2 linked regions of the Danio rerio genome follow. The protein of the gene in region 1 purifies or fractionates together with the protein of each later gene. This does not show direct contact. Links are inferred from orthologs where the notes say so. Each region holds a gene or a part of one and is shown in the gene's direction. Other genes may lie near its edges.

Region 1 (15,801 bases):
AATATTTCTACCGATATTGAGAAAGCATTGGTCAAATTCCTGGTATGGCCAAACACGAGTGAACGTGTGTATTTTTAGTTGATTACAATGCAAAAAATACAGGTTCATGTTTTTTTGCAAGGTTCAAGGTTCTTGTTTTTTGTTTGTTAGGTACTCTGAGTTGCTTGTAGCTAGACGTCTGAGTCTGAAGTTTGTGCGCATGATGCAATGTCATGAAAGACCTTTTATGTCGTCGGAACTGGGAATTGAGATGTCTAAAAATATGGACGGCGCACTTCATTTCTCATCAGGACAATCCATCAATCGAGCCCTTTTTTAGAACGCCTGCCACATGCCGCTGGGTTTGACATGTCCTCTGTGACATGACTGATTTTGTCATCTTTTATTGTCAGATGATAAAAGAGGTCTTATAAATATTGATCGCGCCGCACTAGACTTATTGTACCAGACTGTTGGAGTGATCATGTACGAATGTCTGTTAACTCTAACTTCTCCCTCGCTTCATCTCAGACTCAAAACGTCATGTACGACCTGGTCTCGGACCTGAACGAGCGAGGCGAGGACATGGAAAAGAGGATTGCACTGCTGGAGACCAAACTTGAGACCTTGCTCAGCAACTTACAGGCACTCCCGGGCCTCATCAGTCAGGTGATCAGCCAGCAACACCGGGACTTCCTGGAGGTGCAACTCCAGCCATACGACAAACACAGCCACGAGCGCTCGCAGTCTGTCTCCCGGCGCAGATCGTCTTCCACCGCGCCTCCCACTTCATCCGAGAGCAGCTAGAGCTGACCGCCCAGCCGGCATTTCCGGAGAAGACTTTCGCCATCATATGGCCAAGTTGCATTTTACTGTAAAGCCTTATGGTTTCAATAAAGTATTATCCAAGTTCTGATGGCACCATCAGAGGTTACTGTGGATAATGCATTTGAAATGGATATCTTCCACACATATCTTGTCGATTTGTTTTTTTTTTACCTCAATAAATGATGCTGTTTCTCTGTTGACAGGATCACAGAGAGACTTTTCTCAGTAACTAATGATGGAAAGATGGGGCTATCAGGTGAGCAAGTCCTTCCTGCGGGACTTAATTCAGGAAAGCAATGTGACGACCTCAAATGGCGCCAAACAGTGCCAGACTAGTGCTTCCTACAGAATTGTCTGTCTCTGTATATGTGAATGAGATCTGACCTGTTTCTTGAATCAACAGGCATTAATAACTCTTTATCGAGGAACTAATAGCATGTCTGAACCCAAGACAGGGGCAGATGAGGAATGCGTCCCCTTCCTGTCCAAATAGCGAAACCCCTAGATTTACACTCTCAAAGGAAAGCATATATCTTTTAGGTTAGAAACGGCATCAGCTGTAGTGTTCTTCTGTTGTAAGCCCTCTAAAAGTGACTATTCCGGGGGCCATGTTGCAAAACAATTTACTCCTCTCGAAATGAATGCATCTGAATCTATACTTGCACTTTTTATCAATGCACTTCAATGCTTACTGACTATAATATGAATTTATGTTGCTCATTCAAATAAAAAAGACACCTTTAGTCATAGGATAATGGCCAGAATGTACAACGATAATGATTGTGTAGGCTACGGCAAGGGCAGCAATGAGACCTCTACTGAAATGACTGTGCTTACAATGTAGTTGTTAGATCGCTGCGGTTATTGCACCAACGTTTCAAACTCTCCATTAGTTCCGATGGCAATTGACGCATCTCTATGGAGCAGCTGAGAGGAAACCTTCTCGGTTCACTGTGCTCTGTGCTTAAATGAGACCAGATCTACTGAATGCTATTCACAGACGTAGATCTGTTTAAGAGCAGCAACTATCTTGTATATGTTTGGAAATGCCTATTTTTGTATAATAACGAGGACAAGCACACCTCCAAATGCGTATGTCTTTCTCGAAGGATGTGTGGTAAAAAATGTGTTTGAGTTTGTAAGTGGAACAGAACCAAAGCTTTAAACATGGACAGAAAGTAAGGAAATGGATAGTCTTCTGGGAGATCTTAAAGATTTGTTCACACTTGTAGTTTGTGGTTCTTTTAGTTCACTTAGCAATCACACTGTCATTTTTAACTTGTATACTTGCTTGGTGTGCTCAAAGGTTCAAATGGCAGCGTTCTGATGACCCAGTGTATTGTGATTGGTCGAGTGTGTTCAGCGCGAGACAGAGAGAAACGCCCACCACGGCTTATCAACATTGTTGAAGTAGTGCAGAGTGTATTTGTGAGCCCAATGCAAGAGTTCATCAAAGCAATGCAGTTAAACACCAGCCTATTACTATGTTCCTAACCATAAGTAAAAACAACAACAACATTTAGTATTAATCCACACAGTGGCAAAAGCTGAACTATTTCGAAACTTGACGGCCACACGTGTAGGAACAGCTGACGGTGGCCATAGCAACGACAAACAGCAGAGGATCGCGAGCTCACAAACACATTTGAATCCGTGAAGACAGCGACACGCCTTGCATTTTTAGCATGGCTTTAGACATGATATGAGAATATAAAGAGTTGACCAGATACAGTACAAGCAGCGTACAAGTAACACTAACACAATTAAATGCATATTTTGCAAGCTCGAGGAAACAAGTAGGCAACCATTTTAATCGCACTTACTTACACTTTTGAAATGAAGGAAGGAACTGATTCGTGTACTGTAAAGATCCCGGTAAGCTCTAAAAGACTCCCATACATCAAAAGTCTTTTCTGATCTTTCCTTTAACAGACGCCCGACAAATCCCCCGTTGCAGGGTAGATTTCTGCATTAATCACTAGAATGTTCACTTATCTTCAGTCCTGATCAGTCCCACACACACCTGCACTGCTATTGTCTGAAGGAAAAGGCGCATTTACAGTTTACCCGATCTGGCACTTCATATTTGGTATTGTTTCTTGTCGACATCAATACAAACAGACAAAATAATTTAAACGAATCAGTCGAATCTTTTATTAAAAAATTGTTAGTTTTAAACAAGGTGCTCTTTCGGATTTAAACCTCAGCTGAATGTTTTCTTTTACTTAGAGCGTTGTTGCACACTGCATGGAAGGTCATTTTCAACAACCCATAATAGGGGCTGGTTAATACAAAAGAAGTTATTTTGAAAATGCTGGTTGTTGGGACCCATCGACTTCCATTGCAATCTTTTTTCCAACTATGGATGTTGATTGGTCCCAGCAACCAGCATTCTTCAAAATATCTTCTTTTGTGTTTAACAAAAAAACTAAATCAAATAGATTGAAAAGCAGATGAATATAATGAGATCATTTTCATTTTTGGATGAACTATGCCTTTAACTCTTTAATAAAAAAATAATAATAGAAAAATTAGCAATGAGTGGTGTCACAATTAAACCAAAGAAGTGGAAGTTAAAAGGTTAAAGTGAAACAAAAAGAATCATGACAGAAGGTCATGGTAGCTAATAGGCTATATGTACAGCTAGTATTTTTAGCCAATGATGAACTTTCATTAAAAAATTTGTGAGTATTTTCAGTTTTATGGATTCCTTTTACAGCATCAATGTTGTAATGTAATTCAAATATAATCAGTTAAATAGACTTAAGCATCCATTTGGTTGTTAAAGTATAAAAAGACAGTTTACACACAGGCACCATCATTAGCAGCAGGCTAGCAGAAACTCCATTGATAATACTAGGGTAAAATTAATTTCCATATTTTAAAGACATGGCACAGAAAAATAAAACTTGATGCAGTGCTTCTTGTTTGGTCTGATACCGGTTTTATATCATATCTCAGCCAGGCAGTGAAAATCGCTGTTTTTTAAAGAAATCAGATCCTAACCGCAGCGATTTTGTATGGGATGAAAATTAACCGGAAGCCCTGGGGCTGGCTGACTGAAATGAAGAATTTGTGTGCATATACCCCATTAAAGGAGCACCTACTGAAATTTGAAAAGTATTTTAAAAACATTAGAATTAAATGTAATAATATAGACGAGGTCAACAGAAACCACAGATTTTTGCAGGTTGTGCCTGCAAGAGCTAATACTGTGTCTACAAAAAGAAAAAAAGAAAAAAAAACACAACAGCAGACCCCACAATAATCGGTGACTCTATATACACTATTTCAAATGAAATATGGTTAAATCTAATTGAATTGAAATCATGTTAATCTAATTAAAAAATCAAATCACTAGAACTGATAGCAATACTTATCCCTACTAGCAGAGCAATATGCCCGGAGTTAATTTTATTCAAGCCAAACCTGCTTAGTGTGAAGACATTTTAAGATCTCCCAGTAAGCTGAACTGTACCTTTGCACTGTAATGGATTTCTCTAGGATGGCCTTCTGGCATATCCGTCGAATTCAGCCTCTGTTTTTCTAACTGGTGTTAAAGGTCAAACGAATTCACAGCACAATTCAAAATAAAGGAGTTTCATGCTTATTTTCTGATCAGTCGGTCTCGTGCCATTCAGTACGCAAATGTCTGTCTGATGCAAAGAACTGATAACTGCAGGACTATTTATTGTAGGAGAGAAGATGACCAGTTCACCTTACTTTACTATCATTTACTGATAGCATGTTATTGATAGATCTGTGCACTTTAGATTCTAAAGATATACGATGGGTTCATGTTGGATATATTGGTGCATTTCATAACTTGGCCCAGCAACAACAACATCCCAGAGTGCAATGTCATTATGGGGTTACAAGAACCTAACGAAATGATGGTGGATCCAGCAATTTCACCAACATAGAAACTATGAGTGATAAAATACTGTATGCAAAATGAATATAACAAATAAAACAAAACTATTTAACAGAAAAATAACTGTGTGTGTATGTGAGCATTAATTTTGATGTCTAATTTATGTTATGTTAGCTATGTGTTTTTTACAGTTATTTATTTTTTGTTTATGATTACCATTTTTGAAATGATGGATATTTAATGTCTAAGTATATTACTTACATACAATTGCACTTCATGAGTTCTGCTTGTTTTAACTAATATATTTTTAATCATTGATTGACTGATTGATTTTTATGTTTTATTATTATTTCTTATAAATGGTCCAGAAACAGTTATGCTATAATTCAAAAGGGGTTAATTGTTCTGAAAAAATGTTTATTATTTTTTTTGTCAAAAAAGGCGCCAAGTGTCTTCTAAAAAAGGACTTCTGTGCTCTAAATGTATCTAGATTCATGACAGTTCATCCAACACCAGTGGTAAATTGGAAACAACATTGTCATAGTGAGTTATGCTTTCCCTGTTCTTCTTGCATGCACACAGCATACCATATGATCTCGGTCAATGAGGGACTGTGCAATAAATGTACAGAAATAGTGAGATCGACATAGAAGCTTTCAAAATGAAAGGCACACATCCAAACTTTAATTGAGTATAGTAAGAGTGTTAATGCTATACTAAACATTATGGTTGGTGCTTGGTACATTTACATTTAGTCATTTAGCAGACACTTTTATCCAAAGCGACTTACAAATGAGGACAAGGAAGCAATTTACACAACTATAAGAGCAACAATGAATAAGTGCTATAGGCAAGTTTCAGGTCTGTAAAGTCTAAGAAGTAAAGTATTAGTAATTTTTTTTTTTTTTTTTTTTTGAGTACAGTTAGTGGTATATCCAGAGAGGCAATTGCAGATTAGGAAGTGAAGTGGAGACTTATTATAAATTATACAATATATATATATATATATATATATATATATATATATATATATATATATATATATATATATATATATATATATATATATTTATATAACATTACTTAAAAAAACAAGCACAACTAGTCATGAGCAATTTTGTGACTAACATATATACAGACTGCAAAAACACTTTCACACAGGGCTAAGCAGTTTTGTTTTCACTTAAAAATTATAATAATAAACATTTTCAAACTGTATGATGTCTTTACTTATGTTAACTTTGACATGTATTTAAACTTGTTTCATGATCTGAAACATTAAAATGTGATAAATTATTAGGGGCAAACACTTTTTCTCATATTTGCTCATAAGTAAATCTTAATGACTGTCTCAATTTTGCAAATAATATTTTATACAAAAAATAAATAGACATGCTGCATACAAGTAATTTAGTACCATGTAAAAACGGAATATTAAATATAAAAGATTATTAAACTAAAAGTACATGTAAAAATGTAGGTTCATCATGCAATTTGGATGGTTTGATTTAACAAAAACTGTTACAATTACACACACAAAAAAAGATAGAACCTAACAGGATAACCCACAAGAAAAAATACTATTGTTATTTATAGTGAATGAATATCATGAACTGTGTTATAAATTTATTCATTAGTCATCACAGCAGAATGAACCACTAACTTATCCAGCATATGTTTTACGCAGCAGATGCCCTTTTAGCTGCAACCCATCACTGGGAAACATCCATACACACTCATTCACACACACATACACTGCAGACAATTTAGCTTGCCCAATTAACCTATAGCACATGTCTTTTGGACTGTGGGGGAAACAAGACTACCCGGAGGAAACCCACGCAAACACAAGGAGAACATGAAAACTCCACACAGAAACGCCAACTGACCCAGCCGAGGCTTGATCCAGCGACCTTCTTGCTGTGAGGTGATCGTACTGACCACTGCACCACTGTGACGCCCACTTTAGTTGTTATACTACAGCAAACTGTAGTGTATTTTTGTAAATATATATTTCTAGAAAACAGTACAGTATTGGGTAATTTGTTCATATTATATCTGTATTACCACAGCAACTATACTATTATCACAACAGATTAATTCAAGTATTAAAGTATGGTTGGAAGACATTAGAAATTACTGTACTATTTTTAACTTGTGAATTTGCCCATCCAGCCATTTAAGATGCAGATGACCTTTTTCCTCATTATTAGCTGAAACTGCGCTCATCTTCATTGTAAACAAACAGCATCAGCTCACATGAGGTCTAACACACTGGCATTATTCAGTCTTAGGAATGTTGGCTGAGACTGGATTAAAGAAAAGATAAGCTAAATCAGTTTTGTACAGATAAATCTTTTATGTATTGTACTTTTTTATGAATATCTAAAAATACATTTTTCAATGTTCTGCTGAGGGAATCACCAACACGGATAACCTGAGGGTGAGTGTTTATTTATTGTTTATTATTAATGGTTGAACAACAGCTTAATTTTCCTCATCATGTTGAATTTATAGTCTGGGTTTACGGTTCACATAACTTCCCTGTCATAAATGTCTTTGTTTTTTTTCTTTCAGAACAGTCATTTTCAGAAGCCTATGTTTCTTTATTAACATGTGTTTCTTGTACAAAAATATCTACCACATCTTCCGAAATGTGAATTAGGCTCCTGTTAAAAATTAATTGTTGAATCATGTTGAATTCATACAGTCTTAGTTTGGTTCACAGTACTTTCCCTGCCACAAATGTGTTTGTGTTTAATCAAAACAGCCTTTATCTATCCATCTTTATTGGCGCATTTCTTTTCCTCAAGTATCTTGGAATTATTTGCTCCTTACCAGAAGACGGAGCCCTCCTCATCATGTCACAGCCACGTGAAGAGCCGAAGTATCGCGGGAACACGAAGCGTGGCCGTGAACTCCCGGCAAAGCATGACAACCGTGTGCTTTTGAGCTAAATAGCTGCGTAATTCCGAAAACACTGATTTTTAATTTTCTCAAGATACAACTTTGAAAGGACCAACGCCAAAATGAGTTTACTGGCCAAAATAGCCGAAATCGAGAACGAGGTGGGTTGACATTTACAGTGAATTACTTTATGAAAAACGGCTGTTAGCATTTTAGCGCCAAACCCATTCAACAGTCTGTCCTGCTGTACCTTATTTCAGAAATAAACTGGACATTTAATACACAGACCATTTAAATCCTATACAATGTTGAACTCTGTGGAAATCTGTTGTTATGTTGATATTGTCATCGTGAATGTGCGGTTTTCTGAACGGGCTGTGTGCTGCAGATGGCTCGGACTCAGAAGAATAAGGCCACCGCTCATCATCTGGGGCTCCTGAAGGCCAGATTAGCCAAACTGAGGAGAGAACTCATCACCCCTAAAGGAGGCAGTGGAGGAGGCACTGGAGAGGGTTGGTACTGCACTATCATCACCTACACCTGCCTCTCATCACATCAGACAGCTATTTACATTCACAGGCTCTTCAAAAGGGGAAGTTTGGTATTGCTAAACTTTTATCCAACTTTTTCTTACACCCCTTAATCGTTAGTTTAAGAGATGGTGGTTTCATCTGTTAAACAGTAGACTTTCAATGAAGTGTTTAAATCTGGGTGCAGTGAGGTGGCACTATTGTCCTCAAGGTATTCAAGATTAACCATGGGTTTACTACAAATAAAACAAATCAAGCATGGTTACTGTTTAGTAAGTCGTATTTGCTGTGATGATAATCCATTTGCTTAAATCATGGTAACTTTTGGTTAGTTATGCAAGGGAGCAGTTTTTCTAGTGTTTTACTAGCTTTTCATAAACTGCCTAGGCCTGTCACAATAAGGAGTTTTGTTGTGTGATATATTGTCACAGAAATTGTTGCGATAAGCAATGTTGTAGTTTTAAAATCGTTTTATGCGACTGTTTATATGAAGAGTTCATATGCAAAACCCTCTTGTCTAAATCCACAAGACCTCTTTTTTTGTAAATGAGCATTTTCTATCAGGCTTCTATAATTAGGTTCAGAAGTTTAATTTTATAGATAATAAAAAAGGTTATTAGCTAGTAAATAAAATAACATTTTTTCAAAAATGTCACTTTAGACATATTTTTTTTAACAAGGTAGTTTTTCTTTTGCGTCAAAACCAGCTAAATCCACTTGTGCTTTTATTTATTTATTTTTTTTTTGCAAAAACCCCTAAATCCACCAAGAAAGTGTAATTAGAATCACTAAAGAATAATTTACCCTAACATATAGCGCATTGCACAAAACACCGAAAATTATAAATACATAAACATGTCAAGTAAGTGGCGGTTCATTTCACTGTGGCGACCCCTGATTAACCAGGGACTAAACAGAAAGAAAATGAATGAATGAAATCTGTCAAGTAAGTGCATTAATCATTAACATTAAAATTGAAATTTATTAAAGCTTAACAATCTGTTGTCATTTCTGATGTTATTGTAAGTAGAGCACAGTAAACATTGCAAACTAAACGTAGTGTAAAACATTGTGAAACATCATTATCTTTGCATTGTCCATGAATATAAAACGCTTATCAGATATATAAGTAATATCAAGATATAAATATTATGTATAGTTTTATACATTATATTTATTATTTTTAAAAAATAGCTAACATTAACAAATAAAACACAAGGTAGGCCTACTGGGCAAAAAGGGGATGTCTGTCAGACAGTTTTAGAAGCTGTCATTCATTCATTCATTCTCACCATAATCAAGGTCTCTGTCTCTTTTTCGTGTCTTGTTTATCCTCATAGCATCCATGTGGGATAAAAGAACGACATCCTTACTTCGTCTTTCATGAAATGGAGTTGCTGTTTAATGTGTAGTAAATAGGACCTATTTATAGCGTCACTGCACGCAAAAAAAAAAAAAAAACGTTATGAATATATCCACAGTTCCAAATGTACAGTGTGTTTTCTTTTTCTTATAATGCACACAGTTTAAAGGTAAGGGATGTTTTTATTTGCCATTCACTGACAGTCGAACAAGCTCATCCAGTTCATCAAACTCCATCTTTTAAAATCTCAAGTAAAAGTGGAATAAAGTCTCCTCATAAAAGCCGGTGTATCAGCGTGTCGTTAAATTGAAAACATATGATTCGATTCATGCCTTCTGATTGGTTCTAGGGACATAGCGGCTACATATATGCTATTATATTATAGATAAATGTTCCATGATAAACTTCGACACTGGTAAGGTAGAATGTAAATGTCAATGTAAGATGGCTTTAAGGTTATTTATGAATTGTAAATGTATATTTTAGCAGGTAAAATTATTGAGGTCATCTCAAAGTTTTGCAAGTCGATATATTGATTATTGTGACAGGCCTTCATATTTTCATCTATTTTGACAATTGGACAAACTCAAAAGGTCTATAATAATTTTCACATTTATTTTGTGATTATTTTTACAAATGAAATAATTATGCAAAATTAGAAGTATTGTAATAATAGTATTGTGTTGTAAATGATTAAAGTACTCATGTTTGCTTTTTTGATTTCTTTATTTTCAAGCTGTAATCAAAATCATTTGGTAAACTTGCGTCCAAGAACTCACAACATTGTGTTTTGAAATACAAACCAGGAATAAAAAATAACTTGCGTTCTGGAGATGGCATGCCTACAAGCAAGAAAACTTGACATGCAATTGCTTAAGTGTTGCAGCAACTTTCATTTTTATTGATAAATTGTCAGTTTAAAAATGATCAAATTAAATAAATGGGATGAATTAGTGCACTGTGTATTCTTTTTAAACTTTGGATTAAACATGGTTTAAGTCTATAAAAAGGGGTTCATATCTTGTCTTGAAGTTTCATGCTTCTATTGTCTAACAGGAGCTCCAGAGTCAATTATGGCTTTCATTTTTTCACCAACCTGGTTTTTCCCCCCTCAGGTTTTGATGTGGCTAAAACCGGTGATGCCCGAATAGGTTTTGTGGGCTTCCCATCAGTAGGCAAATCCACTCTTCTGAGTAACTTGGCTGGTGTGTATTCTGAAGTGGCTGCCTATGAATTCACAACACTGACAACTGTACCAGGAGTGATCCGTTACAAAGGAGCGAAAATCCAGGTGAACCATTTTGCAGTAGTCCATTACATACCTGATTAAGTTGCGTTTGGACAGTGTTGAAAGGTATAACATGATTTAGTGATTCATCATTTTGTAAAGTAGGTGTACAACCTTGCTGAATGACTGACATAAATGATGCATTCTGAATGTAAGGTCTATCGTTTTAATGGTGTGTTTCTTATTTTCTTTGTTAGCTTCTGGATCTCCCAGGTATCATTGAGGGGGCAAAAGACGGCAAAGGAAGAGGACGACAAGTCATTGCTGGTAATAGACTGTTAACACAGATAATAACAAGACACTTGTAGTGCAGTTCTGTTTTTTTAATTGGCATTTCCCTAAACTTTTCTTCATTCCAACAGTTGCTCGCACTTGTAACCTGATTCTGATTGTCTTGGATGTACTGAAGCCCCTCGGACACAAGAAGCTTATTGAACACGAGTTGGAAGGTTTTGGTATTCGGCTCAACAAGCAACCACCAAATATTGGCTTCAAGAAGAAAGACAAGGGCGGAATCAACTTCACTGCCACTGTATGACTTCAGTGTACTATTAGCTCTTTATTGCATACATTTACACACTTGGGTATTAAAAAGTTTCAAATGTTTGTTGATGTAAAGTTAATATAATTATATGTAATGAAATAATATTACAAAATGCATTTTTATTAGCTTTTTTTCTCCATTTTTTAAAAATCAATATGTCTATCATTGCAGTTATAATATTTGTCCAGTACTAATTTCCAAATTACATAATCTAATACACTGTTCTTAATTTAGTTGTAAGTAAATTATGGCTATATCAGTACTTTATTAATTAATATTGTGAAATATTAAAGGGTTTATTATCATTTATATTACATTATTTATAAATGTCCTTTTGATACAATGATTTTATCTATTTTTTTACCAAAGTTTAATTTTACATTTATCATTTGAAAAGCAATTTGACTTATATGTATATCGTAAAAGAGAATACACATTTTTTTGACACTAATCAGTTTCTCATAACATGAACAGAATTGGCATATTTTTTTTATAATTTTTTTAATCATTTCATTAGTTTTAGCCATATTGTTAATGCCTTTTTGCTTGCCTCAGCATGTTCGCTTCCATCTTTTCTTTTCTTTTTTTTTTAAATGTTTTTATTTGTTTTTTCTTTTTTGACATACACAAAACAAAAATACAAACACAACATAAAATGCCTGACACAAAACACAACTGCATATACTAAAATATACATATGGCCAAAGCCATAAGCTATTATGTTATAAACATTACAATATGGCAGGAAGAGTGAAAAGTTTGATGAAAACAGAAAACAAGAATGAATGTCTATACGGACATTGTCATTCCGAGTTTCAAAATGTCACATAAAGCAAGGTTTATACTGTCCAGATATGGTGTCCAAGTGCGAATAAATATATCAGTTGTGGAGTGGCTTAGACATGTTAAGTATTCCAGGGGAATAATCTCTTGAGTTATTGAATGCCATCCTCTTAAGGAAGGGAGCTTATCATTGATCTATGACATCAAAATGTTCTTCCTGACAGCAAAAGTTAACAGGCAGAGGAGTCGTTGTTCATACTTGTTCCTGATTAGTTTGCAAGGAAAACTCAGAAGAAGGGACAAAGGGTTTTATATCTATGTCCAGTCCAAAAATATTGTTTATTTTGGCTACAATTCTGTTCCAGTAGGCCAGAATCACATGTGCTTCCATCTTTTAATGTCTGTCATTCATCAGATAAGTTGTGTTTGCAATTGTCATTGTGTCTTTCTGTTTTAGTGTGCCCAAAGTGAGCTGGACGGTGACACTGTCAAAAGCATCCTTTCCGAGTATAAGATCCACAATGCAGATATTACCCTACGCAGCGACGCTACAGCCGATGACCTTATTGACGTGGTGGAGGGAAACCGGTAGGAGCAAATTCTCAACCTCAATCCTCAAGCGTTCTCACTTCAGAAGAGATTTTCACATGCTGGTTTTCCTCCTCTAGGGTTTACATTCCCTGCATCTATGTCCTCAACAAAATCGACCAAATCTCCATCGAGGAGCTGGACGTTATCTACAAAATCCCTCACTGCGTGCCCATCTCCGCTCACCACCGCTGGAACTTTGATGACCTGTTGGAAAAGATCTGGGATTACCTGCAACTAGTGCGCATGTGAGTTACCTTCACTGCATTCTGGGAGCAATTTTTTACATGACAGCGGAGTTTGATGATTTTTCACTTCGTAAAGCAGTGGTCACCAAACTTATTCCTGAAGGTATGTGTCCTGCAGATTTTTAGCTCCAACCCTAATCCAACACACCTAAACAAGCTAATTAAGGTGTTACTAGGTATACTTGAATCACCCAGGCAAGTGTGTTGAAGCAAGTTGGAGCTAAACCCTGCAGGGACACCGGCCCTCCAGGACCGAGATTGGTGACTTCTCTTGTTAAGAAACACTACAGTCCTGTAGTACATATTTGCGTATACCTAAAAACTGAACACATAATTCACATCCATATGACATCATAGTGTAAACTGCAAAAAACATCTAATTGTGAAAACTGAGATGATAAAAGTAAAAATGGAAGAATCAAAGCTTTAAATCAACCGAAACAATTGCTTGGTGAAATGATTCAGTGTTTCAAAGTGTTCAGTGTTTTTTGAAACGCAACATCCTGGCGCCACCTGTTGGTCAGTCCTCTAAATGCATCTCAAAAACCTCTCATTAAAGTGGACCTATTGTGCAAAAATCACTTCCATAAGGAGTTTGGGCACAGTTATGTGGCAACAGTGTGTGAATATAGCCAGCTTCAAATAAAAAAAAATAATAATAATTACCTTTTTTATTATCACACTTGATAAAAACTTTGAGCATGTCATCAGGGAGGAAAGCCCCACCCCATGGTGTCAATCTGTCCTTAGTGACATAAACAGCCCTGAGTGAGAAGCAGCTGTCCACCATTAGTGTTTTCACCATACTTGCTAAAGATAATGTGAGCGACTAAGAGACATTTTAAATGCTGAGTTTTGGGATGCACAAATGAACACTGTAGGCTCCATAGACTGCCTCCTCCTTAGCCTTCAGTCATTGATAGAGAGAACATTCATTCTTTGAATCTGCTTCTATGCTAAAGCATAGGTGTTTGCAGCTCAATGTCATTTGAGTTTAAAGAGAGAGCCACCAAAACTGCACAATTCTGGTGAAAGCCTGAAAGTTTCAGTTTCAAGGAGTTATAAAATACGATTCGTTAGGTATTTTGAGCTAAAACTTCAAACACACTCTAGGGACGTCAGAGACTTATTTTGCATCTAGTAAAAAGAGGCTTAATAGCTCCGCTTTAAATCATCTGCAAATGTGTAATGATCCAAGATCAGCACAGACTGTAAACTCTCAGTAATGTACTATACTATTTCATTATACCTGAATGATTTATAGGCTCACAGAGATTAACGCTCCTGCAGAAAACTATTGGAATTTCCAAGTGTTTTAAAATAGCTGTGACGTAACATTGATATTCTAAAGACGGCTAAAACCTCTATACCATTGACTTCCACATAAGGGAAAAACCAAATACTACACATCTATCAATACAAGTTTGTAGCTATCTTCAAAATATAATCTTTTCTGTTCAACAGAAGAAAGAAACTCAAAGGTTTGTAGCTACATGAGGGAGAATGAGTATTGTGTAAATGTTCATTTTTGGTTGAGCTAAATAAATACATATATATTTTTAGGCAACTTAATTAAATCGCTGTAAGGGAAATCAGTGACTTGCTGAAGAAACAGTTTACTGAAACTTTATTTTGAGTGAAAAAGCCTAAGAGACGCTTGCAGGAAGGTAATGTAATGTACTGTAATGCATCACAGTGTTCTGCTGTCTAGTGCTCTCTGGGAGACTTTAAAGTTTGCACTGTGTGTCATAAAGCCTCAGCAGGATGTATAATAACACTGACTGATTTTTCACAGCTACACAAAGCCGAAGGGACAGCTTCCTGATTACACAGCACCTGTCGTTCTTCCAGACGGAAGGACCGCTGTCGAGGACTTCTGCCTAAAGATTCACAAAAACCTCATCAAAGAATTCAAATAGTAAGTGACTAATGTTTATTTCCTGCACGTGGACTGAAGTTGATCTCATTGATGTTTTTGCCTTGAGTCAGTTCTGATGTAATGTGATTATGCATTTCCTTTGGACGTCATTGTTCGTCTGTATTGAGATCCAAAGGATAAAATCATTGTGATCTGAATTCAGTTCTTGATAACCGTTGTCTCTGATGTAATGGCAGCACTAGTTATCTACATTTTACACACATCAGCTCATATCCTGAACTTTATTCCAAGGTTAAAGTGAACATACAGTGTGTTTCTGCTTCCTTCTGTTGGGAAGATTTTGTCTCTACATTCTGTCCAAAAAGCCCTTTATTTATGTATTTATTTATTTATTTAGGATACCTGTATATCAGTGAAGGTTTAGTTTTTATTTAGAAGTTATTCTATTAAAATATTTCCCCCTCACTTAGAGGTTGTGGTGTAATTTCCACTTTTTTGTTATAGGGTTTTTGGTAATACTTTATTTTGATGGTCCCTGTTGAACATTTTGTTGACTAAAAGTTGCATTGCAACTACATGCTAATTCATTCTCATTAGACCATTAGTAGACTGTCTTCTTGATATCTGTTGATACTGCTCCTTCAACATTAAACTGACTATAAGAAACTTTGAAAGTACGTTAACTTACACTAACTGTAACCCTGACCTATCACTCTACTTGTAATCTAATGAGAATTAGTTGGCATGTAGTTGCAATGTAAATATTAGTCAACAAGATGCGCAGTAGGGACCATCAAAATAAAGTGATACCAGGTTTTTTTATTGAATTTTGTTTCAATTATCAATTAAGCATTTTAATTGTTGTAGTTACCAGTAGCATCATTGATTTATTAGCGTTCAACCACTCCATAATTTGTTTCAGTAAAATGTAGAGCTGCACGATTAATCAAAAGAAGATGGCGATCTCGATTCGACCCTACACACAATATT
Region 2 (15,974 bases), on another chromosome or scaffold:
CTCTGCAGAGGATTGAGGATCCAGGAATCCAGGAATTGATTTTGACACCCCTGGTATAAAAGAATAGTTCACCAAAAAAAATTTAATTCTCGAAATTACAAAATGAAAAACACTTAAAATTGTGACTTTGTATACAGTATGAAACCCTATTAACAGATTATATTTTATGCTCACCTGATACTAGATTGTAGCCATTATTATTGTAGCCATTTTTATGGATTTGAATGGAGCATTTTGTCCTTAAAGTACTAAATGTTTTGTACCTACAGTAGTGCAAAAACAAACATACAAAAGCATATGAAGGTAAAGTATTAAAGTTACAGTAAAAACACACTGTTGACCTTAACAGCCAAAATATTTCAGGTAAAATGTAAAAGATAAAAATGTCCTTTATAGGACACATAAGGGTTCATGTAATAATGAAAGCTACTTCTTTCAATGGTCTTATTGATTTCCTTTATATAAATTGTCCTGTTAGTTGTAAACAAGGTGAGAATCCACTCTAAGCATTTAAATTTGTGGATAACTGTTGTTTTCTTTCTTTGTTTTTCAAAACAATTTAGCTAATTCATAAAAAATGCATTCATTCACAGTATGAATATTGCTAGTTCTGACTTCAAGCATCTATAAAAAAACAATGTTTGTGTTTGTGTGCGTGTAGGAAACAGAGAAAATGAAGTATACATAGGGAAAGAGCGAGTGTGCAGAGTCTTGTGGACGTGCCATGCTGTGCTAAACTGTACTAACCTCTCAGTGGGTGGCTGCAGTGCTGGAGCTCAAACAGACATGAAAAGGATTTGGGGGGACAATAATTTAGCTTTTCCTCTGCTTCATATGGAACTCTCGCCTTCACTCTCTTCATAGGCATTTCAAAGCCTGGCCAGAAAGGCAGAATGAAGTATTGTTCAAGAAGACTATCCATTCAGTATTAAGCTCAAAATGTTTGCACCGACACTGCCAGCCCCCCCATGAGTACGTACGGTTTATTTTTGGTTGTGCCAATTCTTTGAAGGTTTGCCAGTCCTGCCAGAATTTAGCAGTGTTCCTACTCTTGAAATACTGAGTGAGTAGGAGTGGAAAGGGTGTGGTGCGGTCCATTCTTAGCAGTGTGCAGTACGCCTGGCTTTAGAAATATCATGACTATCATCATTAGAGGAAGGCTATTTTGTCACAGATGACGATTACGTAAAAGATGAACACAGGAAGATCAGCGCATATCCATAAATAAATCTTCCTCTGTCCAAGAAAGACATATCAGAAACTTTTAATGCAATTTGCATATCAAGTTTCTTGTCCAAGTTGAGTCTAAAATCATTATCTCACTTATTCCTTTTATACCGTAAAAAAGTCTTTATGTCAGATTCAGTTTCTATCTGTGGGCTGAGGAACATCTACATAGACAAGGTTAAACTGTTGAACCTAAATATATAGCCAATCACAGATTGTGGATTGTATTCACGTATCTTTTTGAACTATAGACCATCACTGAAAAAAATAAACAGTGTTGCAATCTCTGTGCATCCAAAAGTTATCTATAGAACATACAAGAAGAAATTTTCATACCACAACAAAAGGATTACAACAAAATTGGATAGCACTGACTTGCATTGTATCGGCAAAAACATTTTTCAAAATATCCTCCTTTCTTTTCGGCAGCAACATCATAAAAGGGAGAACTTCAATAGAGTGAGGGAGAAAGTAATGACAGGATATTGTGTATCTATTCAGACCTGTCGGAAGAAAAATGGCAGGTGGGCTGAAGGAAAATTCTTTTTCTGACAGTAGGTGGTGCTTATGAAAGAGCTGAAAATGGCCACTAAACAAAAAGAGCTGAGCAATGCTTTATTTAAGACTTCTGGTCAGTCAAACAAAATTGAAATGTTCTCAAACAGCTCTGAAGAATTTTGTAATTTCAGTGTTTACTGCCAAATACAAGACTACACAGAAAAGGGGCTGGTTCCTGTAAAAAAATAGCAGCAAATGAACATTGGTTCGTAAGTTTTGTTTTGGTATGTAATGAAAATATATTTCAACATCTTCAAGGGATTTATAGATTTATTTATTCTTAATGTAGACAATAAGAGTCCCATTGAGCAGCCTCTTCTTCCAGGGAGGCCTGATTTACCTTTTCGTATTTGATTAAGAGGACACGGAAGCATTTCTTTCATTCATTCATTCATTTTGTTTTCGGCTTAGTCCCTTTATTAATCAGGGGACAACGGAATGAACTTATCCAGCATATGTGTTACACAGCGGATGCACCTCCAGCTGCAAACCGGAACTGGGAAACACCCATACACTCTTGCATTCACATACACTCTGGCCAATTTAGCTCATTAAATTCATCATGTCTTTTGACTGTGGGGGAAAACCAGAGCAACCGGAGGAAACTCACGTGAACACGAGGAGAACATGCAAACTCCACAAAGAAATGCCAACTGACTCAGCCGGGGCTTGAACCAGCGACCTACTTGCTGTAAGGCCACAGCGCTACCCACTGCGCCATCTTGTTGCCTTAAAAGCATTTCATTGGATTGAAAACTACACTTGAATACTATTGCACTTGTGCAGGACCTAGGTTAGTGTGATTAGGTTAGTGTGATTTTATTTTAAGTAGGACATCTGTGCTGATCCTGGAACAGTATTACAATAAGCGAATCAGATTTAAGTAATAAGTTTACAGTTTAAGCAAAGTTTAAGCTTACATTTAGGGTTTTAAACTTCTACATAGTTGTTATTTAACACCCCCCTGATTATGGTAATAATTTACAATTAGAGTTTGGTTTAGGGGTAGCAATTAGGTATGGATTAGATTTTTTGGAATAAAAATGATGTTCCAGGATCAACATATCACATCCACCATCAGGGATGCAGAAATATCATAATGAAGTATGACGTGTGATACGAGCTGTTGATTTTGGAGAATGAAATGTCATGTGTGACTGACACAAGTCAAATGTGACTGTCACTTTATTCTACAACAATTCAATTTGTGTAGTGGAGCACAGCAACGTTCCATCAGTCCTCTTTTGACAGCTAGCCTTGTAGTTTGTTTGCTTTTTGTCACAGTAATGTTCAGTTTTACTGCTTGATATATATACAGTTAACATGGCACAAAGCTACATGTGCTCATCTCTTAATTAAACAAATAAGTAATGGAAGGATAGTAGCATGTCAACACAGCTAGAAACTGCATATTTGTGCAATGTGTGCGATGCATGTGCACGTTATATTCACATTCATCACTCAGTCACTCACTTTAGCTTAGTTCCTGATTTATCAGGAGCTGTCACAGTGGAATGAACCGCCAGCTAGTCTGGCAACAGTTTTATGAGGCGGATGCTCTTCCAGCCGCGAGCTTGCACTGAGGGTGCACTCACACTATGCCATCCAAACCATATCCAGGTGTGTTTTTCAGTTTGTTTGACAAGTGTGAATGCCCCAAATCGTGCTCAGGCGCAGTTCAGTTAGCCGGCCCTGGCCCAGTTGGAAGAGATGTGCCAGATCCAGAACTGTAGATGCAACGTTACTTTTAAGCGATTGTTTCATATGGATTTAATAATCATTCTTACTTTTCAATAAACGCGAACTGTCGTAGTTTATTATAGATGGAAACCCTTCACTGTTTGTCAGCTGCACCTTCAGCTACTTAGTGGTACGGTACAGTACGGTATGATATGGCTGTTTCCACTGTCAAAAGGTATCTAAAGGCAAACTGTACTCTATAGGCAAACTCCACTTTTTGGGTACCCTTTGCAAAGGGTTCCTAGCAAAGCAAAAGGGTATCAAAAGGCGGAGCTAGATGCACAACTGAACGCTATTGGTTTACAGAAATATGGCACTCGCTTGTGGATAAGCCAGAATGAAAACAAAGTAGCTGCCATGTTTTAAATACACAGATGAGACATTACACCATAATAATGTATACATATAATAACGAGCCATGGTCGACCCGAGCTCAAACAAACCTTGTCATTATCTTGATGAACAATGTGCCCCGTAGTTTTTTACATGGTTGTCTAAAGCTCAAGCTGTTTCACTTTCTCCAAAGAGCGTCGATATTTGAAATAACAAACTTCTTGTGCTGATGATTATAACATGCATGTGATTATTGAAATGATTATGACAGCCGATCCTGTCAGAAATGAACAAACGCGAGAGTGACCTGCGAAAAAACAAAGGAGAAGCCAGAAAAAAACAAAGGAGCTAATGATTGTTTCAACAACCTAAAACATCGATAAACTGCCCTGTTTAACTATGATCATCGCCTTTTGGACTATTATGAACTTGCAAAGACGGAATTACTTTCTAACAAGAGGCTACACATGCTGCTGAAGATTAAAGACACATTAGAGGTTTGCTCTGACTGTAGTCTATGATGCGTGTTGTTTTTGAACCTAGATAGAAAGGTTGGTAATAAACATTTATACATAAGTATTTATGTATGAAACTTTGTCTTACACCACGCCCACCAAAAAAGTACCATTGGTACCCTTTTAGCATCGAAAAGCATTTATAGCATAGCATTTAGCGAGCCTGATAAAGGTGACCCATACCAACCCGTACAGTACCATACTGTACTACTCAATGTAAACGGGCCATAATATGTGCAGCACGAAGATTTTCGTGAACATTTATGTGCTTCAAAAGTGGTTGATCTGATCGGCAAAATATTTGACAGCGTGTCACTGCATCCTCAATTATTAAAGCAATATAACTAAAGCAACCTCTGCTGTCCTGAGCAAGACTGCTTCTCTTCCTGTTAAACTGAACAGTCACATCATTGATGACGTAAGCATGCTCAGGTTTGGAAGGCAAAATGCAGTGTGAGTACAGGCCGTCGGGGAGAGGGGAAGGGGGACAATCGCGCTTTGGCACAGTTCAAGGCAACTATACCTAGTGTGAGTATGCCCTGAGAGTACTCAACCTCAGGAAGCTCCAGTGCTGGAAACACCCATACACTCTCTTATTTATACACACACTCATACAGTAAGGCCAATTTAGTCAATTCAAATCACCTATATTGCATGTCTTTGGACTGTGGGGGAAATTGGAGCACCCGGAGGAAACCCACACAACTCAGAAATGCCACCTGGCCCATCTACACTGCAAAAAATGCTTTTCTTGCTTAGATTTTTTGTCTTGTTTCTAGTCTAAATATCTAAAATTTCTTATATCAAGAAGCATTTTCCAGACAATCAAAACATATTGTCTTATTTTGAGAAATAATATGCCAATATTAAGTGAGTTTTTTTCTTAAAACAAGCAAAATAATCTGCCAATGGGGTAAGCAAATTAATCTTGTTTTTTTTTCTTTTTTTGACGTAAGATTATTTTGCTTACCCCATTGGCAGATTATTTTGCTTGTTCTAAGGAAAAACTCACTTAATATGGACATATTATTTCTCAAAACAAGACAATATGTTTTGCTTGTCCAGAAAATTCTTCTTGATTTAGGAGTTTTTAGATATTTGGACTAGAAACAAGACAAAAAATCTAAGTAAGAAAAGCATTTTTTGCAGTGTAGGACTTGAACCAGATCACATTCATCAATTAACGTTATTTCATTTTAATTTCAACAAAAGATAACCATGTTAACACATGTTAACCTCTTAAACATGCTTCTGGGGTTAGGTACCAGCCACTGTGTATCACCACCAATATAATCCGTTTTTAAAGGTGCTGTGCTTGTCATTTGGTGTGCAGCACCCTTTACGTAATTTTGTATTTTTTGTTAATCCAATGCTTCGAAACCACTGCCTCGCTGACTCAAGTTCAAGTCCCAGCTTGGGGACCTTTCCTGATCCCGTACAGCTCTCACTATCACTTAATTTCCTGTCAATTCACTATACTGTCCAATCTCAACAAAGCCCAACACAGAGCAAAAATAAATCCTCAACAAAAATTCCTGACAAATGTTTGTGACAGTCTAGTCGTAGAACAGCTGTTCATTCAGATGAAAACATTCAATCATACTAAGCATTTATCTTGGTGTAACAACACATTTTCTCAGCCATTCCAAGCCGGATTCTTCTAACTAAGGCTTTAATTAACGAAATTACTTAACAGTAACTGTTCTTTATTCTATCTCCATTGCTCATGCTCTCTGTCATCACATTCTATGAATAGACAATGACAAGGATGCTTGTTTCCTTCGCATGTGAACCAGCGCAACTACACTGCAGCTCCAACCAACCAGCTCACCAACACACACCGGTGCATGAACACCTTTACACCAACTTCAAATAGGCTAGGCTCAAACAACCTCTCTCCCTGGCCCTCAGCTAGCCTCCCAGAAAGCCTTTCTATTTCACAGACGCATGGATAGGAGAAAAAGGAGGGAAAAATGAAGCTCGGATGGAGGAGAGGGGGTGGGTGGGGGGCTGTTGCGGGGGAGGGACCGAAAGGGGGTGAAGGGGGGTGTTAGGCAGCATTGTAATGATGGAGAGCAACTCGATACTCTTGCATGCTGAATATTCCCCTGGAGGGCTTTTTCCATTACCCGAGCACAGCAGAATGGTGGAGTCGTTTAGTTTAGCCCAAGCTGCCTAACGCTCTCTCAAGCTCCCCCTCCCTTTCTCTCACCCTCTCTGTTCCCCTGCTGCCCCTCCCCTCTCTCCTGTTCTGTGTTTTTCCATAGGCACATTGTGCAAATGTAACCTTTCAGTAAGCCCCTCCCCTCCAGGAAGTTGGCTGGCCCCTTTGCTGCCAGGAAATATGAAAAACTGGCAGGATGCCCATTTAATCTCCAAACAGAGAGCTAGCGCGCGAGCGAGAGAGAGAAACAGCGAAGCAGTTGAGATGGAGAAGGAAATGTTACAGTTTGACTCACCAGAAGGGAGGGGGAGAGAGGACAATTTTACTTTAGAGAGTCACATTAACGATAGCGCTATGAAAAATTGCCTGATTTTCTGTGTTGTTGCTGTTTTACAGCGAATGTCATCAGATCTTAAAACTTACCATTGTGTATTTTGGAGGTCGGAGATGTGTTGTAACGCACAGTAAATTGTTACGTCATCAGTTTAACTAACATTAAACATTTAATGCCCCATCCACACAGAGACGCAAAAAAACAAATAAATAAATAAAAACTAAATTGAATAGGCATTAATACATCTTTTGGGAGAATGAAACGAGGCCATAGCATTTTCATGTGAACTGCCAAACCGTATATTTTGTGAAACAATGGTGTCGTCAGCCCACACATCGACCCTAGTCAGACAGCACTACTACAAGTAACAGCGACAACAACATTAGTGGACAACTGTATATACACATTCATGCTGCAGCAGCTATTAAGCGTAATAAATTAACAAAAAAATATTCGCCATTAGGGCTGGGCGATTAATTGAAAAGTAATCAAAATCGACATTCAGAATCTATAATCGGTCAAATTTTTTACAGGTCATTTTTTTCAATGACTTTTCCCACTTTGTGTGGAGACACATGACCCTGCACTGTTATGCTGGGTTCACACCAGATGCGGATGAAGCATCAAGCAAGAGTGATTTACACGTTAAGTCAATGGAAAGATGCGAATAGACATCCTGTGTCGCGATACGCACTAATAAGGCGAATTGAATGATGCGATTCGCACAAATGGAGCTGCAGCAGTTGAAAGTTTTTTTGCGATTGAATCGCTCGAGTTGGAAAATCTAAACTTCAGTGGACATTTGCAATGCGTTATGTAGGGGCATGATTATGACGTAGTGCCTGTTGTTGGTGTCCCGGGGGAAAATCCTCTTGCCGACACCGGTCAATATCTAATCAAACTGGGCTTGGCTCAGTCTGAAGCACCGCTGAAAGCTTCCATGATCCAGGTACAGTTTCTAGAGGAGATGAACTCACAGGGCTGGGTGCACCTCTGAATGGATCTAGTGGACTCAGACAAGGCTTCAAAAGAATCGACGCTGATTATCAGCCTTCCTAAAGCACGGTAACACAGCTATTCTCTAAATAAAATCCATGTTAGCTATTTGGCAATGAATGTAGAGTTACCGGACAGACAGATACCCCGCCCATGACGTGAATCCATGTTTATTGCTCAGTGAATTTGATGTGCGAATGAAGCGAGTAAACTCAAAATGTTCACACGTCTATTTACAAACGAATAGCATGATTTATCCATGCACACCGCATCTGGTGTGAACACAGTATTAAGGCTGATTTGTACTTCTGCGTCGAATGCACGGGTATGGTACGGCACAGCCTTCGTTGGGTTGTATACCCGCAAGCCTCTCAAAAAATGTAACTACACATTGAACGTTTTCATTAAATTGATGAAGATTGGAAGCTGCGCCAGATATGCCTTGAGATGGCATATTGTCTGTTACAACAAAATTATAATTTACATTAAAATATTTGTTTACAGAAGATTCAAAAAAGCACTGTTTAAAACATTATTATCAGGATATACAAGAGTTATTTAATTTTTTTTTAAATACTGCTTAATTTCTATATTTAGAAAATTCATACATTCATTTTCTTTTCAGCATAGTCCCTTTGTTTATCTGGGGTTGCCACAGCAGAATGAACCACCAAGCATATGTTTTACGCAGCGGATGCCCTTCCAGATGCAACCCATCACTGGGAAACATCCATACATTCACACACACACACATACACTACGGTCAATTTAGCTTGTTGTTAGACTGTTGGTTTTAGGCAATGTGTGTTTTAATTACAGTTGCTCATAGTCGATGTTCAATAAATAATAATAGATAATAGTTTTTTTTTTCCTTCAGTAATTTAAAATCAAGTAATTCATTCAGAAATCACTTACTTGTAATATGTGTGCATGTCTATTGTACAAAACCTGTCAGTGAACTGTGGGGGCAAAAAATAAAATAATCAGTTATTAACTACAGTCGAGTTAAAATCTTCAATTAATCGAGATTTTGATTTTAGGCCAAATTGCCCAGCCCAAGTTCATCTTCTTTGTGATTTGTATGTAGCATGCGAGGTTTAACTGTGTGCCTTTCTCATTTTTGTATATCTCTGTAAAAGAATTACAGAATTTTAAAAAAAAAGGATAGCTCTGGCTTTGTGTGGATGTAGCCTAGTCTCTGTGCATAAATAATAAGGTTTAATAGTGGTTAGCACTGTCGCCTCACAGCAAGTAGGTCAGTGGTTCAAGTCCAGGCTAGGCCGGTTGGCATTTCTGTATGGAGTTTGCATGTTCTCCCCATGTTGGCGTGGGATTACTCAGAGTTCTCTGGTTTCCCCCACTCTCAAAACACATATAGTAGTCTAAACAACTTTAGGTATAGGAGAGTTGAATAGACGAAATAGTCCGTAGTGTGTGTGTGTGTGTGAATGAGTGTGTGTGGTTGTTTCCCAGTACTGGATTGCAGCTGAAAAGGCATCCACTGCGTGAAACATCTGCTGGAATACTTGGCAGTAAATTCTGCTGTGGGAACCTCTGAAATAGAAACTCAGCCGTAGGAAAATGAATGAAAGAATCAGTTTACTACAAATTCTGTTTTAAAAGTCTACATTTTATTTATACCTCATTTAATTTGATTTGCAGCATTTACTCTAAACATTGACCTAAATGTTAGAATAGAAAAATAACATTCACATTATTATAAAAAAAATATTCCTTAATAGATAAAATTAAGTATTGTAACATTACTCTCCATGCTTATTTATACCAGGGTAGTTTCAAACACTGAAGAAATAGGGCTGTTTACACAGTAGCATTTGGCACAATTGCGAAGCTAGCTAAAATGCACACACTGCTTCTGCTGGTGTTATTGTCTTTGTAGGCACATAAAATGCTTAAAAATTAATTATTTTACTTTTTCTTAAAATAAAAAGTACTGACTTGTAATAACAATTGTGTTATGTTCAATATGGTCTCCCTGTTACAGTACATAAACAATGTTTGAATACTAGGCAAGGCAAGTTTACTTATAGAACACATGTCATAAACATTGGTAATTCAAAGTGCTTTTCATTGAGTAATAAAACAAGAATAAAAGAGACAATTAAAATAAAATAAAAACAAAGAATAAAATTGATAATACATAATATTGCGATCTGTTGGACATAGCATATTGCTCATTCAGTAAAGGCACAGATAAACATATGTGTTTTCAGTCTTGATTTGAATGTGCCTAATGTTGGAGCACATCTGATCATTACATCTGATCAATACAGACACAAACTACATTTTTTAACATCTTTTACAATATGGAAATTTGATCTGATATCAGCAACTCTTTTATTTTGTTGAAAGTCAATAACTCGTGTAAGCAGATCAATCTTTGTGTGTATTTCTGTGTCTGATAACAAAACACAGATGTGGTGGAGAATGAATATTATTTTAGATTCTAAACCATAGAAAACAAGGTGACATTAAAGAAAACTTCTAGGTCTTTATTATCCCAAAATCATTCTCAATCCTGTCTTTTTTCAGTGATGAACTCAAACACTGCCAACATCATGTCTTCTTTCTGAGAAAGATTCTTATAAAGCACACATTAGCTGTATTATATCATGTCCAAGGCACTGATCAAGACCCTTATGGTGAGCAGCACACATCTAAACTGGAACAACCATCAGAAAAAATAGATAATGAATCTGCCAATAAATTAATTACATATCATGTCAATACAGATAATATTAAGTAAAAAATTATTGGCAGATAATGATAGCATCACCAATATATTGTGCATCAGCATGTACTATGTGATCCCTGTGGGATCTTGGGTAAAAGTCATTACACACTTTATTACACTTCATGACTGCAGCACCAACTTTCTGACACAAATTTGTTCCAGGACTAATTTATAAGACCAATTTTTTAAGAATTTTTTTTAAGTGTTAGAGCTTTCATTCAATCATTCATTTTCTTTTTGGCTTAGTCCCTTTATTAATCTGAGATCGCCACAGCGGAATGAACCACCAACTTATCCAGCATATGTTTTACGCAGCGGATGCCCTTCCAGCTACAACCCATCACTGGGAAACACCCATACACTCTCATTTACGCACATACACTATGGACAATTTTAGCATATGACTTTGGACTTGTGGGGCAAACCTGAGCACCCGGATGAAACCCACGAGAACATGCAAACTCCACACAGAAATGCCAACTGACCCAGCCGAGGCTCAAACCGGCGACCTTCTTGCTGTGAGGCGACATCACAGCCTACTGCGCCACCGTATTGCCCTTGTTAGAACTTTAGAACGATTTTGAACTGTTTTGTTAGAGATCCACTGTATAGTGTAGTATAATATTATTAGAGATCCACTCATTGGATATATACATAAATGAATTCACCCCTTGAATTAATATTTTTTCAACCATTTCTCAGTGAATGTAAACAATTTATTTTGGTGCGTTTAAACAAAACTATTTTTTTGAACAGGCATATCCATTAAATGAAGAGTTTGGTCAATTAAGATCTTTAGGAATAGAAAGATGTTACATTTAACTTCAAAGGAGATATTGCAAAATAATAAAACATTTTATATATTTTTATATTATGTTTCTCTTAATTTTTCCTGTTTATTAAAATTGTATTTAATATTTTTTTCCCACATATTATTTTGGGTGTACTAATTTTTGAACTGTGATTTAAATTTTTTTTGTTAGATCCAATTTTGTCTTTGGTACCGACTAATCTAATCTATATACACAAAAATATTATTATAAAGCATCCTGTAGAAAGTAATAATTTTAAAGAAAATATTATTATATGCTGAGCAGTGTTTATAGCCTGATATTACAATTTTACTTTTGTCATGAAAACAGATCATTGTTAATCATGTTTTAAGGGAGTAAAGTTTACAACCAAATGTTTAAGTTGTACTAGCAAGCTTAGTAAACTTATGTAAACATAGATTGGATCGGTTAAATATACAATAGGCTAACATTATTTTTGTTGTCTAACAAACTAAACTACATTTTGTACAGATTTTATATTGTTTAAATATTTAAGTATTATTCCCCTAAATATATATATAGAAGAATATATAGAAGGTCGCTGGTTCGAGCCTCGGCTGGGTCAGTTGGCATTTCTGTGTGGAGTTTGAATGTTCTCCCCGTATTGGCGTGGGTTTCCTCCAGGTGCTCCGGTTTCCCCTACAAATCCAAAGACATGTGGTACAGATGAATTGGGTATGCTAAAATTATCTGTTTATGAGTGTGAATGAGAGTGTATGGATGTTTCCCAGTGATGGGTTGCGGCTGTGTAAAACATATGCTGGATAAGTTGGCGGATCATTCCTCTGTGTCCACCCCAGAAAAATAAAGGGACTAAGTCGAAAAGAAAATGAATGAATATAGAGAAATCATAAAATGTTTCAAGCTAAAAGATATGCAGATGGAGTTAAACTGATCATAAATGAATACATTTAATAGAAGTGAATGCCACATTGTGGTTTATACTTTGGTTCATTTTGAGATATTATGCCTCTGAACATCTGGTTCCTCTGAGCCCTAGGCCCTTTAAGGCCCCTGCATTTTAAATTTTTCCAGGCTAAAAAGGTACCTTTTTTAGTCTTCAGAATTGTCCTTCCTTTGTGGTAACATTTTTGTGGAACAGTCCATATAAACAAAGAATACTTATACAAACAGTCAATCACAGTTATCTGTTATAAGGTGACTGGACATTAGGTGCAAAAATGTTTTCATACTTGAAAAAAAAGCTAAAAATTATAGTAATGAAAGACCAACCAGAAGTTTGTGACTTATACTAAAGTATGGGAGCAATTCCAACGTCATGGATGTGACATTTATTATAAAAACTCAAAACATAAATTCACAAAGAAAGCATATATTAACATTATATTGAAACATTAAAACATATTTTGTAAAACAACTGATCAGAAAGTTAAGGGATCATTAAAATATCACTCTGTAAACATTTTTATATTTTAAATAGGAAAAAAATAATCATGGGTTATTGATGTGACCAAAAAGTGTGAGTTTACAGTATACACAACATACCTTTTCAACTTGGCTGTAAAATAAGAATTTTATATCAGTAGTAAGAAATTTTGGATTAAATTTCCGGCAGTGAGTGCACAACACATGTGAACACACACACACGCATGCACGCACGCACACACACATAGATACACACACACACACACACACACACACACTCACATGCCTGCTTTGCCACACCCTTCAGAGACATTCAGCCTATTTAGCACAACACACACCCAACACAGAAGGTGATACTGCTTCCTAGGCTGGTGTAGCCTACTTAACATACAACAAGCAGGTTGTAAAGATTGCCCCTTACTACTTTTTGTGAAAGGCAGACTCAATCTTATGTAACATCCCACGTCAGTCTCTTCCTGGTAAACAAGAGCGGTGCTGCTCTGGAGCTGAAGAGGTTTTAGAGCACACATTAAAGCTAACTCTGTCAGAGACAGTTTTGCCTAGAGTACACAACCATCCAGCTCTTCTTTATGCCTCTACGTTTCGCCAAAGCACCCCAACAACATAAAGTCTGGTAGAATAACTTCATTTGAGCTTCTAAAAGTTGTGTTCATAAGGGTTGGCTGTTTAACTTGGAGAACAAACACACAAAACCCAGGCTTGAGGTTGAGCAGCGTAGAACTGTACAGTGACATTTTTGAGGCATTACGGTTGAATGCAATTTCTTGTCATTGATCCAAGAAACTCATGGAATTTGTTACAAGAATTATAGTTGGTAAACAGGAACAACTTTAATTTTTTTTAAATTGACAAAGTGTGTTGATGAGTGCTTTGGTGCTAAAAGCATGAGTCCTGCTGTGGCAGATGAGGTTGACTCACCTCCGCTCCCTGCCCTATCTCCTCTGTGATTTCCAGTCACTGAACTCAGCCCATGTACTTTTTATGGGCCAAATAGTCCACTTCATCTCTTCCTTTGCTAGCAGCGCTGAGTACTGGGCAAGGGCTGGGTCAAAAACACTGGAAAGTGCCCTAACTAACAGTGCCACCTGATGGTGAATAGCTGCTACTACATTAATCACATTACTGTGAGTTGAAATGAGAGCACCACCACAGGTTTACAGTCACAACTGCACAACTGAGATCTCACTGGTTTTAACCTACCTTGATGTCACACCACTACTTTGCTTTGGTTTCAGATGTGATTATATTCAAGGATCTTTGGACTTAGTGAGACTTTTATCTTTGTTTGCACCTTTTGATAAAAGAAGTAAGCAACAAAATAAGATGGCCATTCAGAATATTTGTATCCTCCCTTCTTTTTTTGTGCTTTGGCTCCATTTCCTGGAAGTACTTCCTTAGTTATGACGCACTTCCTGAAGGCTTCTGTGTAATAGGGGGAAACAGTGGGTGTAGGAGAGAACTCATGGAAGGAGATGACTGCTTTCCTGATACACATTTTCAGGTTCCGTTACTATTATGTGGAAGGAGGAGAGGAGGCTAATCTCAAAACAATATGACGAAGAGAAGCTAGTGACTCTTTGATTCATAGATTTCTGAGACTTGGATGTTTTATTATCGTGTTATTACTAAAGGTCTTAAACCTTGTCATCAGATTTCTACTTGATTTAAAGGGATAGTTAAAAGAATTATAGTTTGGCATTATTTACTCACCATCTTGTCATTCCAAACATGTGTAAACAATACAAAACAAGACATTTTAAAGAATGTTAGTAACCCAAAAGTTACTGTTTCATTTGATTGAATTTAATGGTTAAAAATATAATGGAAGTAAGAAGTGTCTGTCATACTCAACGAACCTTCTGATAGTTCCTATAACTATTGGTGCTCTTTGCACCACAGAACAATAACAGTTATTGAAACTTCATTTCGTGGAACTAATTTAGTTGATTTGGTGAATATATGTGGTATAAAACACCAGCACAATAATTGAAATGCTTACAAGAGATACAGAATAGTTCATTTTAGAGCTATTTAGCTGCCACCTTGCTGCGTTGTTTTCTCAGCCTCAACCTTTACCACTACAAGTTGTCACACTTTGTAATTTCATATCATATTATTTATTTGTGCATTTTAAGTCACATAACTCATATGTTTGCATTCCATCTGAATTATCAGAAAACACAAATATACAGCCTCAGTCCTGACATATTTCACCCACCATTTTCAACTGGCTTAGTTATATCCAATCCAGGGTCATTCTGAAAATCTACTCCTATATACATTTCTAAAGAGCGACAAATACGTCCTAGGAGCTACGTGTTTTTGTTTTTGTGAATCCACCAGAGGCTGCTGTGTATGCTGTGAGGTCTCAAATTTCTCTCGCGTGTGTCATTTGCGCCTGCTGTTCTTAGGTAAATCCACCAGAGGTCGCTGTCGACTGACTGACCAACCGACTGATACCACCACCCACCCCCATCCCTAAACCCAACCAATAGTGTTTTTAAAAGTTCAGACTGAACCACCCACCAACTTCCCTAAACCCAACCGACAGTGTTTATAAAAGCAATCCAGAAAAAGAAAAGTCCCCTGATTTTTACCACATTGTCAGATTTTACTATATTCTGACCCTGTTATTTACTTGATTATTTTAATTTTTGGCTTTTGTCTTACCTGCTTTCTGTAACCGTTCATTGCCAGACTCAAACCCCCGTCGTTGCAGTCAACTCCTCTCTGCGTGTCAAGTCCGTCGATGTACATAGCGAGCTACTGGACAAGCTGGTAACAGTGGGGAAGCCATCTATAAAGAGGTAAGGGGTCAGCTGCTAGCATAAAAAAGGAACGCGTACCCCCTCGTAGCGTCCATTTTAAAAATGAAATTCATCACACGCTACATAATTCTTGATCTTCAGAAATAAATTTTGGGCTATGTTTTTAGAATGAGCCTATGTTTGGAGTTCCTATTAATGGTGCTCAGTAATTGCTATAACTAACTGCCTGTTGTTAAAGCAAAATAGCTTCTTTAATGGCCCACAGTACAAAGTTCAGCGTACAGGTTTGGAGTAATACAAGAGCAAATAATAAAAATAAAAAAATGGTTTATTGTCCCTTTCTT

The links.
Region 2: the proteins of drg1 (region 1) and ntmt1 purify together in Homo sapiens (affinity purification with mass spectrometry; 3 studies listed by BioGRID and IntAct, counting the BioPlex papers as one, with this or other methods). This does not show direct contact. The link is inferred for Danio rerio from reciprocal best matches to the Homo sapiens genes DRG1 and NTMT1.

What each region holds. Positions count from the first base shown.
Region 1 is NC_133185.1:22,529,603-22,545,403, forward strand, and holds the start of drg1 (developmentally-regulated GTP-binding protein 1), read left to right. Parts: upstream 1-7,594; 5' UTR 7,595-7,710; coding exon 7,711-7,749; intron 7,750-7,976; coding exon 7,977-8,100; intron 8,101-10,596; coding exon 10,597-10,772; intron 10,773-10,966; coding exon 10,967-11,036; intron 11,037-11,131; coding exon 11,132-11,301; intron 11,302-12,553; coding exon 12,554-12,684; intron 12,685-12,764; coding exon 12,765-12,932; intron 12,933-14,727; coding exon 14,728-14,850; intron 14,851-15,801. Other genes in the region: kcnn2 (small conductance calcium-activated potassium channel protein 2), read left to right, coding at 511-786. UniProt on the Homo sapiens protein: Catalyzes the conversion of GTP to GDP through hydrolysis of the gamma-phosphate bond in GTP. Appears to have an intrinsic GTPase activity that is stimulated by ZC3H15/DFRP1 binding likely by increasing the affinity for the potassium ions.
Region 2 is NC_133180.1:33,156,954-33,172,927, reverse strand, and holds the start of ntmt1 (N-terminal Xaa-Pro-Lys N-methyltransferase 1), read left to right. Parts: upstream 1-7,807; 5' UTR 7,808-7,936; intron 7,937-15,974. UniProt on the Homo sapiens protein: Distributive alpha-N-methyltransferase that methylates the N-terminus of target proteins containing the N-terminal motif [Ala/Gly/Pro/Ser]-Pro-Lys when the initiator Met is cleaved.